Mus musculus: one gene and its partners. The protein of the gene in region 2 binds, or shares a complex with, the protein of the main gene of each other region. Links are inferred from orthologs where the notes say so. Each region holds a gene or a part of one and is shown on either strand. Other genes may lie near its edges.

Region 1 (4,424 bases), on a different chromosome or scaffold from region 2:
CTGTCTGGTTAAAGTGTGTGTGTGTGTGGGAGGTGTCTAGGGGGTTGCCCTGCAGGGAGACTGGTATCAGCTTCTCTACTTGCCTGACCAAGCTGCCAGGGGAAACTATCTTGCTAGAGTGTACCACATCTGCCTCTGCCCTGGTGACAGTGACTGTGCCCGCCTTCTGGCAGGGATACAGGGTATGGAGGGAGACATTGTGCGGCGGGTGGGGCAGCAGGCGTGGTTCTGGCTGGGAGGGAAGATTGGCACTTTCCCAGTTTAAGTCCCCGTTGCCTGGACAGAGTCTCCGGCTATGTAGAACTGGTGCCCAGAATCCCTAACCTGCTACAGCTGGGGTCCTGTTGTCACCTTATTCCTTGATGGGGAGTTGATTAGCTCAAGTCAAGATCCCTTCCCAGGTAGCAGTGACAGACTGGTCATGAAGACTGGGTTGTCCATTTCAGACAGAGCTCTGAGCCCTTGGCTGCACACCCTTTGCAGGGTCTTAGTCTCACCGCGGGTACTCCGCTGACACAAGGCAGGAATTCCATTTTAGAGGAAGAAAAGGCCAGAGGGACAGGATCCTGGGATGGACTGTTGTGTGAGAAAGTGCTAAGCCAGACCCTATATCACTGGCTACTGCCAGCCTAGGGTAGGAAAGGATACCAGGTATCGCCTAGCCGGGCCCAAAAGCTGAGCTGAGCTCTAAGGGACAAGCCTGTCTGCATAGAGGAAACCGTGTGTTACAGAACAGGCCAGGCGTCCTGTGCAGCCCCCTTCCCCCTGCTCTCTGGTCCAGATCCACATCTCCTTGGCCACCACAATAACTGCCAATAAACCTGGGAGGGGTTGGTAAGGGGCTCCGGGCTGGGCACTGGGAGGTAGCGGTCCCGGAAGTGCCCTCCCTAGGCCCAGCAGCAACGGACATTCCGCCGCTGCCGCTGCCGCCGCCGCGTCGACACCCACTCACTGCTCGCCGCACTCGCAGCAGAGACAGGAAGAGGCAAGCGCCCAACGCAAAGCAGCCCAGGAGGCTGGGCCGCCGCCCCTTCCCGCCCCTTCTCTTCCTCCCCGCGGCAGCAGTGGAGCGGATGCCATTTTGAAACCTCCGGGGCTGTGCCCCCAGGCCGGGTCCGCCGGGACAGTCAACAGATGGATCCATAAAGACGTACATGTTTCTCGGCCACAGGCCTGGCCAAAAAATAAAAAATAAAAAAAGCCAGGCTTTTCACAGCATGCAGGCCCCCAAGGCGGCCCTGGGGCTGAGGGGCCACACCCCCCCACATACTATCCAGCCGATTACGCTGCTGCGCGGCTTCTGCTGCTGCTAGGGCCTTGCTCCCCACAATCCAGAGGAACTGGTCTTCTCAAGTCAGGCTTCCACAGGGAGCCACTCTGACGACCGGTGTGGGTCTGGACACAAGCATCAGGCCCACTGCCTCTGCCAAAGCCTAGCTGGGATGCTTGAGCGCACACGGGGCTACAGGCAGCAGACTCCTTACCAGCCCCTCATTCAGCTTGCCCACCACCCCCACATCACAGTATTCCTCTGGGGAACCAACAGGTCTACTCAGTATCCTAGGCCATATCCCTGGCGTTCCAGCCCCGAGTGTGAGAAGCCCAGCAGCCGTCAGCAGATCTCTCCAGGCCGGCACACAGGGGCAGCAATATGTCGGTTGGTTCACTACTTCCACTTCCCCCCCATCCCAGCAGCCACCATCTTCCTTGGCCTTGGAAGTGACAACAACCCTAACTCCTCCATGTTCCCTCCTATTGCCCAGACTCCCCTGGCCCTGGCCCAGACAAGCCTTGGATCCCAGGGAATGGAACTTCCCGCAAATGCTAGAGGCCTGGCCCCTGTTTCCCAGTGTGACTCTCAGAGTCAGACCAACCTCTTGCAAAGGGTCTGCCCAGCTCAGCCTAGGCCCACCCCAGCCCCTGGTGCCCCTCCTCCTATCAACAAGGCCCACCTGGGGCAGGAGGGCGCAGAAGCAAGGGAACGGCAGAGTGTGAGAAAAGCCTTAAAAGAGGGGCAGATGATTTGGGGGTTGATACCTGCAGAGAGAGGGAGGGAGAGAGACAGAGAGAGAGAGAGAGACACACACACACAGAGAGAAAGAGAGATCTGGTGACCTGGAACAGAGGCCCTGCGGGGAATCCTGCTACAGAGAACTTGAGAGTAGTCAGTTTCCCTCTTAAAGAGGTTCTTGAAGGGTCAGAGTGCAAAGAGGGAGAATACAGATCCCAGAGTAAGGAAAAGAGGGAGTGGGTCGAGGCTTGACCAGGGTCCCAAGGAATGCTCGTGCCAAGAGAAATAGAACAGGTGGGGCTTGAAGGTGGGAGCCGGCAGGGTGCTGAGGGTTTAAGAAAAGCCTGAGAAAGTGCGGAAATACACGGCAGGGTCTGAGTTCTCTTGAGACTGGATAACAAGGGGGGGGGGAGATAGTCATACAAGGTTTGGTGTGTGGGATCTGGGATGAGTTGAGGGTCTGAATGAAGTCTGGACTAGGATTATAAATCTAGACCAATCCAGAGTTTCGGATCTTAAAAGGGTGGCTCCTACTGGTTTCAAGCGCAGGTGTAGGGTGCAAGGCCAGGCTGAGCAGTTTCAGGTCCTTGTCTGGGGATTAGCGTAGAGAGTCAAGGGTCCCAGAACGGGGCGCTGCCTCACCTAACAGAAGCAACTTCACCTCCCGCGCCGCCTTCTCGCCGTCCTCCCGCAGGTTCTTGTCGATCATTTTAGAGCGCTCGGCTGCCGCCTTGTCCTCGGCGCTCACGGTGCAGCCCATCCTGCCGTCCGCCGGCCCGGCCTGGCCCCCACACGGCCCACGGCCCGGCTCGGCCCCGCCCGACCCACTCCGCTCCCACCGCCGGCCCTCTGCGGGAAGCTCTCAGGTCCGCAGTTCCGAGCGACTGCGGGAGGCGCCTTCCCGGCCGCCGCGCACCGACGGCGGGGCGGGCCAGGGGTGGGGCCCGGGCGAACCAAGCCCGCGACTGGGCCGGGGCGGGTCTGGAGGAGGGGCCGAAGGAAATTTAGGGATGGTGATTGGTTGGAGGGCGGAGCCAAGGGAGAAGTTAGGCTCAGTCCAGCCTTAGGCGCAAGCTGAGAGCGGGGCCGCAACGAGGGAAGACACCAAGGGTAGAGCTAACACAGGCTTAGGCCTCTGGGCGGGCTGCAGGAGGAGCTAGTCTCCGATTGGATGCTGAGAGCCTGAGGCTCTGTTTCTGGACTGTAGGACTAGTTGATCTAGTAGCCCAAGGGTCAGGACTACCTGCCCTCGCCACAGGCCAAATAGAAACCAGGACTCTGAGCATTTGTGAATTATGAGAGTAAGATGGAGGAGGTGTGTCTTCTTCACTTGCTAAAACTGAGCCTATAAACTTATTTGGAGATCTACTAAACTCTGCGGAGGGTCACATGATCTCTTTCTGGACCTCGATTTTCTTTAAAGCAGCGCCCCCTCCTCTTCTGTGTAGGTTGCACCACATTAAAAACAAAAAGAGTTCACTGCCGCCTTTACACCTTTGAGTGGACTATCTTCTGTCATCTAAACGTCGTCCTTTTGCCTGATAGGTTGGGAACCTTTCTCCTGCAGGCAGCAATCCGGGGCTTCAACCAGAGACCAATGAGACTGGACTCTAGGAGAGATAGACAAGAGAGAGTTGTCATTGGACTTAAGGAAACAAACGTTGCCATGATCCTATAATCTGTTCCTTCCATCCTCTGTCAGCTTCTAGAGGCTTCTTCAGTTCCATGTCTCTTCTGGGTAGTGGCTGTGATCCTGTGGCTGTGCAAAGGTGGAAGTGGAGCTATTTCCAATCTTTGTGATCTGCTTTTTAAGAGGGGCCTATGACCCACCAACTTTGATTGGACGATTGAAGTGTGCAAGGTGTTCTGAGTGGCCCCAGACTAAAGCCAGAGAAGGACACTGCCATTAAGAGTTGGTCACAGGGCTGGAGAGATGACTCAGCGGTTAAGAGTGCCGACTGCTCTTCTGGAGATCCTGAGTTCAAATCCCAGTACCCACATGGTGGCTCACAACCATCCTTAATGAGATCTGACACCTTCTTCTGGTGTGTCTGAAGACAGCTACAGTGTACTTACATGTAATAATAAATAAATGGGGGGCGGGAGGGATGGCTCAGCGGTTAAGAGCATTGACTGCTCTTCCGCAGGTCCCGAGTTCAAATCCCAGCAACCACATGGTGGCTCACAACCATCTATAATGAGATCTGAGACCCTCTTCTGGGGTGTCTGAAGACAGCTACAGTGTACTTACATATAATAATAAATAAATGTTTAAAAAAAAAAGAGTTGGACACAGCCTCCTGTGAGAACAGCACTACCTGGACAAAGCGCGTGTTCCAGCTTCTACCCTCCAACTTGCTGGCTTGCTCTGGAGTGTCCGTGTGTCTCAATCATCAGAATGTCTTCCCTGTGG
Region 2 (4,209 bases):
GGCTGTTTTGTTCATCTCTGATGCATCATAGCAGTAATTGGTACCCCTCACTCGACCTCAGGGACCTCAGCTGAGACTCTTCTCTCAGTTTCTGCAAAGACACAGCTACTGTTTGTGTTTCATTTGCATCTCCTTGCAGACCTTCCCTCCTCTGCCTTGCTTTTAAATGCCAGTCTTCTCTTGGGTCCTGTCTCAGCTTCCTTGCTCTCATTTTACACAATATTTTAAAAATATATTTTGCCTATTCCTATGGTTTCCAGTATACCCCTCCCTCTAGTGAAGACTTTTCAAGTCTCTATTTCCAGCTCAGATCTCCAAGGTAAGTTCCAGATCCCAGGATTCAACAGCTTTGGTGAGTAACCATCATTTTTTGAACACTATGGGTTCCAAATTGAGTTTATAATAATCCCTTCTTCCCAAACTGCTTCTGCTCCTTTGTTACTAGGTGCTGAATGCTTGTAGTTGCAGGCAAGTGCTGTCATATGACGTGCATATCCAGCCTCTTCTTGGTTGTCTTTCTGTGATAGGCCATCCACATCCTTTCAGTTTCCTAAACCAGAAACTGGATTTCATCCCTTGACCTCATCCACCCTCTCTGCTTCTAACCAATGTTCAGGGTTTTATTTTTTTGACGACATTTCCAGAAGTGGCTCGTGGATCCATCTTCTCTGCATCTGTACTGCCAGCCCCTCCTTCTGAGCTAGCATCATCTTCCAGCCAGATCTATGTAATGCAATAGTTTTCTAAAGTATCCTTCTGCATTCCATCTCAATCTCAACACCATGCAATTAACTCTGACAGCATACACTATTCCGTGGATCCCAATGCCTCAGGATAAAATCTACACACTATAGCAAGGGCTATAAAGCTCTCCAAATATACTCTAGGCTGGTCTAGCCTAAGTATTATTAGCTACCTTCAATGGTACATGTTCCAGTCATTCAAAAACTGTGTTGTACTGAACAAACATGCTATGGCCTTAAACTTGAAGTTTTTTAGATAGGCTGTCTTCGCCTAAGACATTTTATGCCTCTTCTGCTCAGTCACTTAGCTCTTTGTCTTATTTCCCTACTTGATCGTATCCCTATCTCAGGAAACCTGCCTTCATCCCCAAGGGCAGAGCAGGCTGGAGATGCCCCTCTTGTATATACACTGTCTTTCTTCTCTTCCTGCTGCCACTCCTGGCTTACTTGTCTGTTTCCCCTAGAAACTCGGAGCAGGGCTGTGTCAGTTTTGTTAAACTCGACCCTTGTTGCCTAGCACAGTTTCTGGTTCAATAAACATTTTCTGAATGAAAGAGTCTAAGTGACAGTGGGTAAAAGCCAAACTGAGAAAGCATGAATTGTTTCATAAGCTGAGTAAATATGTAGATTTATAATTTATTTCAATGTTTACATCTTGAACATAGAATCCAACTCCTTCCCTTTCCATTTACTGAACCCAAGCTCCTAGGTTCCACCTCCCACCCCCAGTGAAGTTACCAGACCCCCAATTACTTTGGATGTCCACATCCCAATCAGACCCTCTTGTGGGATTTCCAGGCAGTGATTGTTACCCGTGGTCTCTGTCCCTGTGTACTTGGCTGCAGACTGCTGAGACTGCAGTCTGTGTCTAGTTCATTCCGTGTCCCCAGTGCTAAGCCTAACAAACGTTCATTAAACATTGCAAGCAAATATAGGGATGGGGGGGGCATACATTTAAAGATGTTCATTGAAGCAATGAAGATGCTACTGATGGAAGGAATGAGTCATTTTGAAGCTGGGATGAGGGAAAGCAGTACGAAGGGAAGGTGACACAAAGGAATGGGGTGACTGTTGCCAGGGGAAGTTAGTTCTAGGCAAGTGAGAAAAGGGATATTTGGGGAGCTTTGGAAGGGACTTGGGGACCTTCAGAGAGACAGAGAAAGCACATAGGTGGATGAAGGACCCTGGGAGCAGAGGAGTTTGGGGACAAATGAAACAAGAAAGGTAACTTCCCCCAGTGCCTGCTAAATTCAGATCTGAGAATATTTCATTCGGAAGGTTGGGGTAGAGGGGGATGATTACAACTCTTATTCATGCAGTCCAGAGAGCTTCTACCCTCACCGGCCCAGCCTCCTTCTTTTGCCTTTCTTTCCCTGGTTCCTGCCTCTCCCTCAGTACTGGCTCTGTAAACTGGAAAAGAAAGCTAGACCCTCTGACAAGAAGAGGTCCTTGCTTCCCAGCTGTGTGATGCTTAACTTGAGAATGATCTAGGTAGCTAATGGCAGGGCAAGTATGAGGCCAGGGCTCTGAAGCATGGTGTGAAGGTGTTGGAGTCAGGAGAGCTTGGGAGCCAGTGTGTGGAGGGGAGGGACCTAGGTGGGAGCTGAGGAAGTCCTATCAGGGTAAGCTATGGGCAGCTGACAGTGTAGAGGTCAAAGGGGTTCTCGAATAGTGCTGTGTGGTGCAGTGAGAAGGGCTTAGGGAGGCACCCACCTCTGGTCCCGGTTCCGCGGATACGAGGGGTCTCGCAGCTGAGGTTGCCGGCGCTACTGCTGTTGAGGAGGGAGACACCCGGGCGGCACAAAGAAGACCCTGACCCGGGTCCTGGTCCCTGCAAGCTGCGGTTCAGCTTGAGCAGATCCATGGCTCCTGTGAAGTCCCACTCAGCTCCAACTAAGCTAGCTCCAGCACCGGTTCCACCTGCTCCCGCGGCGCTGCTCGCTCAGGCTCCCGCCCACCACATCGCCAGCCCCTCCTAGTTTCCGCCCCCTGCCCTGGCCCCTACTCCTCCACTCTGCCACCAGCCTTCCCTTAGACCCAGCCGGTCCCAAGCTCTGGGCGGCTTTTGTCCCACCAGGTGACTCTTGGCGCGCCTCCTTGGCTCCAGAGTTCCGTGCGCGCGCTCCTGGGTGACTGCACTCCAGGCAGGCTCGCCCCCGCGCTAGGTTCTCCTTCTCTTAGAAATGTCTTTTCTGCCCACCTCTCATACCAATGTCCCCAGTTCTGGAAATTCGTGTGTGTGTGTGTGTGTGTGTTTACACGTGCGCCTGCTGGAGGGGATGGTGTGATGGGGTAGCTGCTGTGCGGTCCAGCATCTTTCTTTGGTGGTTTAGAAGACGTGGTGATGGCGGTGGTGATCCGGTTTGAGTCCCAGGGTCCCCGCTACAGAGCAGGTGCCTTAGTTTGTCTGGAGCCGCAGTTACCGAGTTCTGCCGCAGTGGCCGCAGTGATAACCACAGTATCAGCTACCTTAGCTCTTTCGTGAAGGCTAGCTTCTGCCTTTGTACATCCCACCTCCTATCTGAAACCCCAAACCCAGGCCTTTTCTTCAAAGACTCGGAGGGTCCTGGAGGGCCGCAGTTGCTCACAATGGAGACTGTACAAGGAAAAGGGCTAGAGTGGACTAGGGCACTGGGGGCGGCGGGGAATTGAGGTGAGAAATGCACTAAATGAACTGAGTTGAGGTGTGGTAAGGGTTCTAGTTCTGGCCCTGACTAGGGTGAAAGATAGGGAGCAGGCAGCTTGGTCATCTACCTAGTCTCTAGGCAGCGTCCACCCCCACCTGAAACGATGATGCTCCATTTGCCCTCAGCACGGATACAGCAAGGGAGTAGGGTGCTGGGTTCCCATGAGAGGGGATCAGAAAAGGACTGGGTCACTGGAGTGTGGCGGGGGCGGGGTAGGGGTTGGACAAAACTGAAGGCGCCAATGAAGTGGATTCCGCTTCCTGAGGCAGGACTGGCCTCCTCTACTTTGTGGCCTTGTTTCGACCAGTGTCATCCATTCCAAAGAAATTCTAGTGTGATGTGAAATATCTTTTGGGATCCCAAAGTGGCTGTCAGAGGTTGGGGGGGGGGGGTGGAGACAGAGGAAGAGAGAATTAGAGTGGGGGTGGGGTAGTCTAGATACATGGGGAATTCGGATTCAGTATCCTGACTGTTTTGGAAAGGACCTGATCAGTCAGCATTGAGTTCATAAGGACTGCAGAGCTGGAGGAGGGGCTAAGCCTGGGATGTCATCACCCCCTCCCTCCACTGTCACCTCTGCTTGTCTGAGAGCCCGGGATCAGAGGAACCTGGTGTTTGCTCAGCTCCAGCACAGGTGGCATCTCTGATAATCCGATGAGCTTTTCCCACATTGGATGACGGTAGCACTGAGAAACACGGGGACAAAGGGAATGTAGGGGGGAGAGAGAGGGACATGGATGTAGCTTACACTCACTTATCCAGAAAACTATGTATCCAGG
Region 3 (4,297 bases), on a different chromosome or scaffold from region 2:
TCTATCATGACTACACAAACAGTGTGGATACCGCACTTGGGAAAGAAGCCCCTCCAGGCTGAGGGCAGCCGTGGTTGCTAAGGATGTCCAGGGCGCCCGCTTCTGACTGAGAACTGTATGGTTTTTAAATGTTGCTCGTGGATGTAGGTGCTGAGTAAGTGGCAGGTTTCCTACCAGCTCCAACAGCCTGTCATTGACGGGTGAGGTGGGGCCAGGTTAAACCCTGCTCCATCTAGAATCAGTGCGGGAGGGCCGCCACACACCTACAGCTACCACTTTCTTAGCTGGAGAACTGGGGGGGTTTCCCCCTCGGGAAATCACTTCCACGTTCGTTTTTTAAAGCATGGTATATTATTAAAATACACAGCATGTAATTAAGCATCTCTCTAAGTGTATTCCCCTCTCAGGCATGTAAACCTAGGCCCTCTGACAAACCTAACTCATAGCTGCTGGGAAACCTGGAGCTGTCAAATTTCAGGCAAATAAGTTTGGTCAATGAGACCTCAAATGCCCTGTTCCTAGCTAAACACAAACATATGAAGACTATAAACAAAGGAAAATTAAAAGCCAGGTCTAAGAGAAAAATCTCTAAAACACGTGTCTTTCCTCTTAATTGTATACTGGATCAACATATATTTATCCCACTTGCCCTTGCTTCTCCCTTCTCAATTAAAAAAAAAAAAAAAAGATAAGACATTCCATTTTCAGCCTTGAGAAGAAACAGAAATGATGAGGGTGGACAGGCTTACCCAGTTTCCCCATTGCTCTGGCTTATTCCCCCTGAAACCCATCTTTCTAGTCAGCCCCTTGCCTTCTAGTCTTTATGAACACATTATATGTGCACATTTACCTAACTGGATTTCAATATAAAGACCTTGGTTAAGGGAAGGGAACAGCATTGGGAACCATGTGTGATTATGATATTTTGCTCCTGACGATAAGCAAGCCAGGCCCCAAGGTAATGGGTTCTTGGAGCCAGCACATGGAATGCTCCAGATAGCAAAAAAAAGAAAAATGAAAAGAAAAAAACGGGGGGGGGGGGGGTGTCTTCTCAAATCCCAACAATGCAACATTCTTTTCTTACAGAAATGTTTGTGAAGCGGTAACAAATAAACACAAGTGCAGACATTTTTCAGGCCTGTTCCTGCAAAGCAGTTCTTGCTTCCTACCACAATAGCAATAGTTATGTCATGCTAGCTTGTACATGGACCCTGATCGCTTGATTCCGAACACTCTCTCGGAGATAATAATCAATATAGCTCCTATTTGAAAATAGCATTTTCTTGCTAATTTCATGTTAAGGGAGAATGTTGGGTTGTTGTTTTGTTTTGTTTTGTTTTTTTAAACGCGATCAGAGGGAAATTTTCTCTCACTCTTCCCGTTTTTTCTTGGAGCCCAGATGGCAAGATACTAAAATGTCCGTTTTAAACAAAAGGTTTCTGTTTGTTTCCAGGAGAGTAACTGAGAGGCTGCGCTGGTTTCCAGTAGAAACTGCTGTGAATTCAGGCATACATCTGGGTCGCCTCATTAAACAAAAGACACCCGTCTGCTGTCAACAACCACACAGTACAACACTCCCGGATCCTTCATCTTTATCCGGAAGGAATGGTTCATAGAGACGCCTGTCACCATCCACTGGCCATGCAACTCTCTGGGGTCACTCCTGTCAGTGGCCTGGTGGCTACAGTATAGCACATTTGGGCTAGTCTTCCCGCCCCGCCCCTGCCCAGTACGTTAACCCGGGTTTATTGGAGCGCCAGCCAAGGCTTCCTCAGCACCTTTCCTAGCAGAATCCAGACCGGGGTCTGCTCCCCGTTTCCACCCTTCCCTCTCCACCCCACAACGCGCCACAATGGACGCTGGCCGACCACCGCACTGCACGCCATTGCCCACCCGCGCCGCTCGCGCGGACGCTCAGCCGTCCCGCAGACGCTGTGCACCGAGCACGGCCCTAGCTGACACCAAAGGCGCACGCCGCGGATCCGCGCCCGGGAGCCCCGGCCCTCGGCCCCTGGGTGCGCGCGCGCGGGTGCGGGTGCGGGTGCCGGCCGGGGACGCGCGTGGGGAGGGCAGCGGCGAGCCGGGGCGGGGGGTACCGGGGCCCAAGGGCCGCACTCACCCAGCAGCAGCAGCTTGAGCTCCCGGCGGGCGTCGCGCTTGTCCCTGCGCAGCTGCCGCTCGATCTCGTCGTTGATCCTCCGGGCTTCCTTGGCCTCCTCGCTCAGGCAGCACGCCATGATGGACTCCAGAGTCATTCTTCCGAAGTGCCTCGCTGCAGCCCCGCCGGCGCCCTGCTCACACGCGCGCACACACGCCCTCCGCCCTCGCTCCCCCGAGGCAGCGGCGGCCGCGGAGCCCCGCCGCCCGGGCGCGCGTCAGGGACGAGCTCAGGGGAGCCGCGGTAAAGGAGGCGGCCGGGCCCGCAGCCCAGGCGGGCCGGGAACGAGCGGGGCCGGGAGCCTGGGACGCGCGAGGAAAGGCCGCCGCGCCCCGCCGCGCTCACACGCCGCCTTCTCGGAGAGCGCGCGGCCCTCCAGGCGCCGCCGCCGACGCTGCCCAAGGCTGTGCGCCCAGCGGCCCGAGCTCATCCACCGAGGCGGCCCCGCAGCGAGCGACCGCCGACGGCTCAGCGCGCCCGGCGCGCCCGCTCCTCGCCGCCGCCGCCGCCGCCGCCTGACTCGGCTCCGGGCGCCCTCGGCCTGCCCGCGCCCACTCGGCTCGCTCGCAAACCGGGCAGCCGGCCGCCGCGCGCTCCCCGCCTCCGCCCCCGCCTCCGCCGGACGCCCACCCGGCCCGATTGCCAGGCGCGCCGCGGCTGCTCAGTGCTCGCCCTCCCCCTCGCCACACACACACATTTTCTCCTTTCTCTGAACTGGAGCACAGATCCGGGAGGGGGCGGCGGCGGCGGGAGGAGGAGGAGGAGGACGGGCGCAGGGGGCGGGCACAGCGCAAGGGGCGGGACCGCGGCCCCTCCTGGACAGCTCGCGCTCTCCTCGCCCCGCCCCCGACTGCCCGCCCCGCTCGCCGGCCGCCTCCCTCTGTGCGAGCTCCGGCGCGGCGGTCACGGCCGTTGGAGCGGGTCCGGCAGGCGGACACCGACCTTCGGCTGCCGCTGGGCTGCCGGGGCGTGGTCGGCGAGAATATGGCGGCCTCGGCCTGCCCTCTGGCCGCTGGCGCTGCGGGAGCCCTGCCGGGAGCCCACGCGCTGCGCTCCGGGCCTCTCTGCAGCCGGGCTGCCCTTTCCTATTTCTAAAACGCCATTGGGAAGAAGCTGCCTCGAGTGGCCTCTGACCCAAGATCCATCTTAGAAGATGGGATGCTCTTTACTAGGGAAGAGAAAGGATTGTCACTGGCTCTCTGGGGGTTACTGAGGGATCTGTGGACGGAACTGTCCTCCTTATCTCCAGATAGGAATCTGAATCCTAAAGAGAAAAAAAGAAGCTGCCCAAGTTTCCAAGAGCCTCCTGATCCGTTCCAACTTTTCGGGTCACTGAGGTGGTTTCTGTTTTCCTACCAGCACACTACGTTAAACAGTCTGGTAATGTAGGATTGACCCTTCTACACCGTGACAGTTAAGGATGACTTCTGGGAGAACGCCAAGTAGTACAGAATGAAATGAAAGAGACAGATATGGTGGCTCACACCCATAAACTCCACACTCCACAGGCTGAGGCAGGAGAATTGCTTCCTGAGCAGTATGAGACCTTGTAGCAAAGAAAAGGGGGAGGGAGAGAGAATAAAATAGGAGAAAGTGAAGAAACTAGTATCATTGGAGCAAAATTCTATTTGGTTTTTATACTTCTAATTTGAGGTGGTTTACTAATAAATAGAAAATATCTTGTTCATTCAAGGTTGTATTGGGGAAAAAAAAAGGTTCATTCAATTCAGTGTGTCTCAAACATCAAGAGGAGAATCGTACTATTTTTCCTGACTTTATAGATAGAAGTGGGCGCCTCCACATTTCATGCTTTTCATAAACTGCTCCTGTTGATCTGGGCTGCAATGTAAGATCATACCCATTGCTGCAACTTAAGAATGAAACAAGTCTTGGACTTCAAGGTCTCTCCTCTGGTTTGCCTTATTCTCCACCACCACCACCACCACCCCACCCCATCCCCCACCCCCACCCCCACCCCCACCCCCACCCCCCCACCCCCGTGATACACTGCATGCATACATTCAGCCTCTATGCCAGGACTCAGATGGAGTTGTGGACGTAAAGTCTGTATGTAATACTCTGCTTTTAAAAAAGATACCTTGCCAAAGAAGCAAAGAAGCAAAGAAGGTGAACCTCTCA

The links. Proteins that work in one complex are often made in the same cells at the same time.
Region 1: the proteins of Cckbr (region 2) and Gnai2 are in contact, whole or in part, in a cryo-EM structure (PDB 7F8V), measured with the Homo sapiens proteins. The link is inferred for Mus musculus from reciprocal best matches to the Homo sapiens genes CCKBR and GNAI2. Residues at the interface, in NP_795344.1 of Homo sapiens: Thr87, Thr89, Arg152, Ala155, Ile156, Pro159, Leu160, Ala162, Arg163, Val164, Thr167, Ser169, Ile241, Gly248, Leu249, Lys328, Val331, Leu335, His394, Arg396; in NP_002061.1 of Homo sapiens: Glu28, Ala31, Arg32, Glu33, Val34, Lys193, Leu195, Thr220, Phe337, Thr341, Asp342, Ile344, Ile345, Asn348, Leu349, Lys350, Asp351, Cys352, Gly353, Leu354, Phe355.
Region 3: the proteins of Cckbr (region 2) and Gnaq are in contact, whole or in part, in a cryo-EM structure (PDB 7F8W), measured with the Homo sapiens proteins. The link is inferred for Mus musculus from reciprocal best matches to the Homo sapiens genes CCKBR and GNAQ. Residues at the interface, in NP_795344.1 of Homo sapiens: Thr87, Val88, Thr89, Asn90, Glu151, Arg152, Ala155, Ile156, Pro159, Leu160, Ala162, Arg163, Val164, Trp165, Gln166, Thr167, Ile241, Leu245, Gly248, Leu249, Val331, Leu335, His394, Arg396, Phe397; in NP_002063.2 of Homo sapiens: Arg30, Arg34, Asp35, Arg37, Arg38, Leu40, Ser198, Val199, Phe341, Lys345, Asp346, Ile348, Leu349, Gln350, Asn352, Leu353, Lys354, Glu355, Tyr356, Asn357, Leu358, Val359.

Annotation. Positions count from the first base shown.
Region 1 is NC_000075.6:107,632,447-107,636,870, forward strand, and holds the start of Gnai2 (guanine nucleotide-binding protein G(i) subunit alpha-2), read right to left. Parts: upstream 2,898-4,424; 5' UTR 2,772-2,897; coding exon 2,654-2,771; intron 1-2,653. UniProt on the Homo sapiens protein: Guanine nucleotide-binding proteins (G proteins) are involved as modulators or transducers in various transmembrane signaling systems.
Region 2 is NC_000073.6:105,424,423-105,428,631, reverse strand, and holds the start of Cckbr (gastrin/cholecystokinin type B receptor), read right to left. Parts: upstream 2,902-4,209; 5' UTR 2,608-2,901; coding exon 2,457-2,607; intron 1-2,456. UniProt on the Homo sapiens protein: Receptor for gastrin and cholecystokinin. The CCK-B receptors occur throughout the central nervous system where they modulate anxiety, analgesia, arousal, and neuroleptic activity.
Region 3 is NC_000085.6:16,131,284-16,135,580, reverse strand, and holds the start of Gnaq (guanine nucleotide-binding protein G(q) subunit alpha), read right to left. Parts: upstream 2,898-4,297; 5' UTR 2,256-2,897; coding exon 2,120-2,255; intron 1-2,119.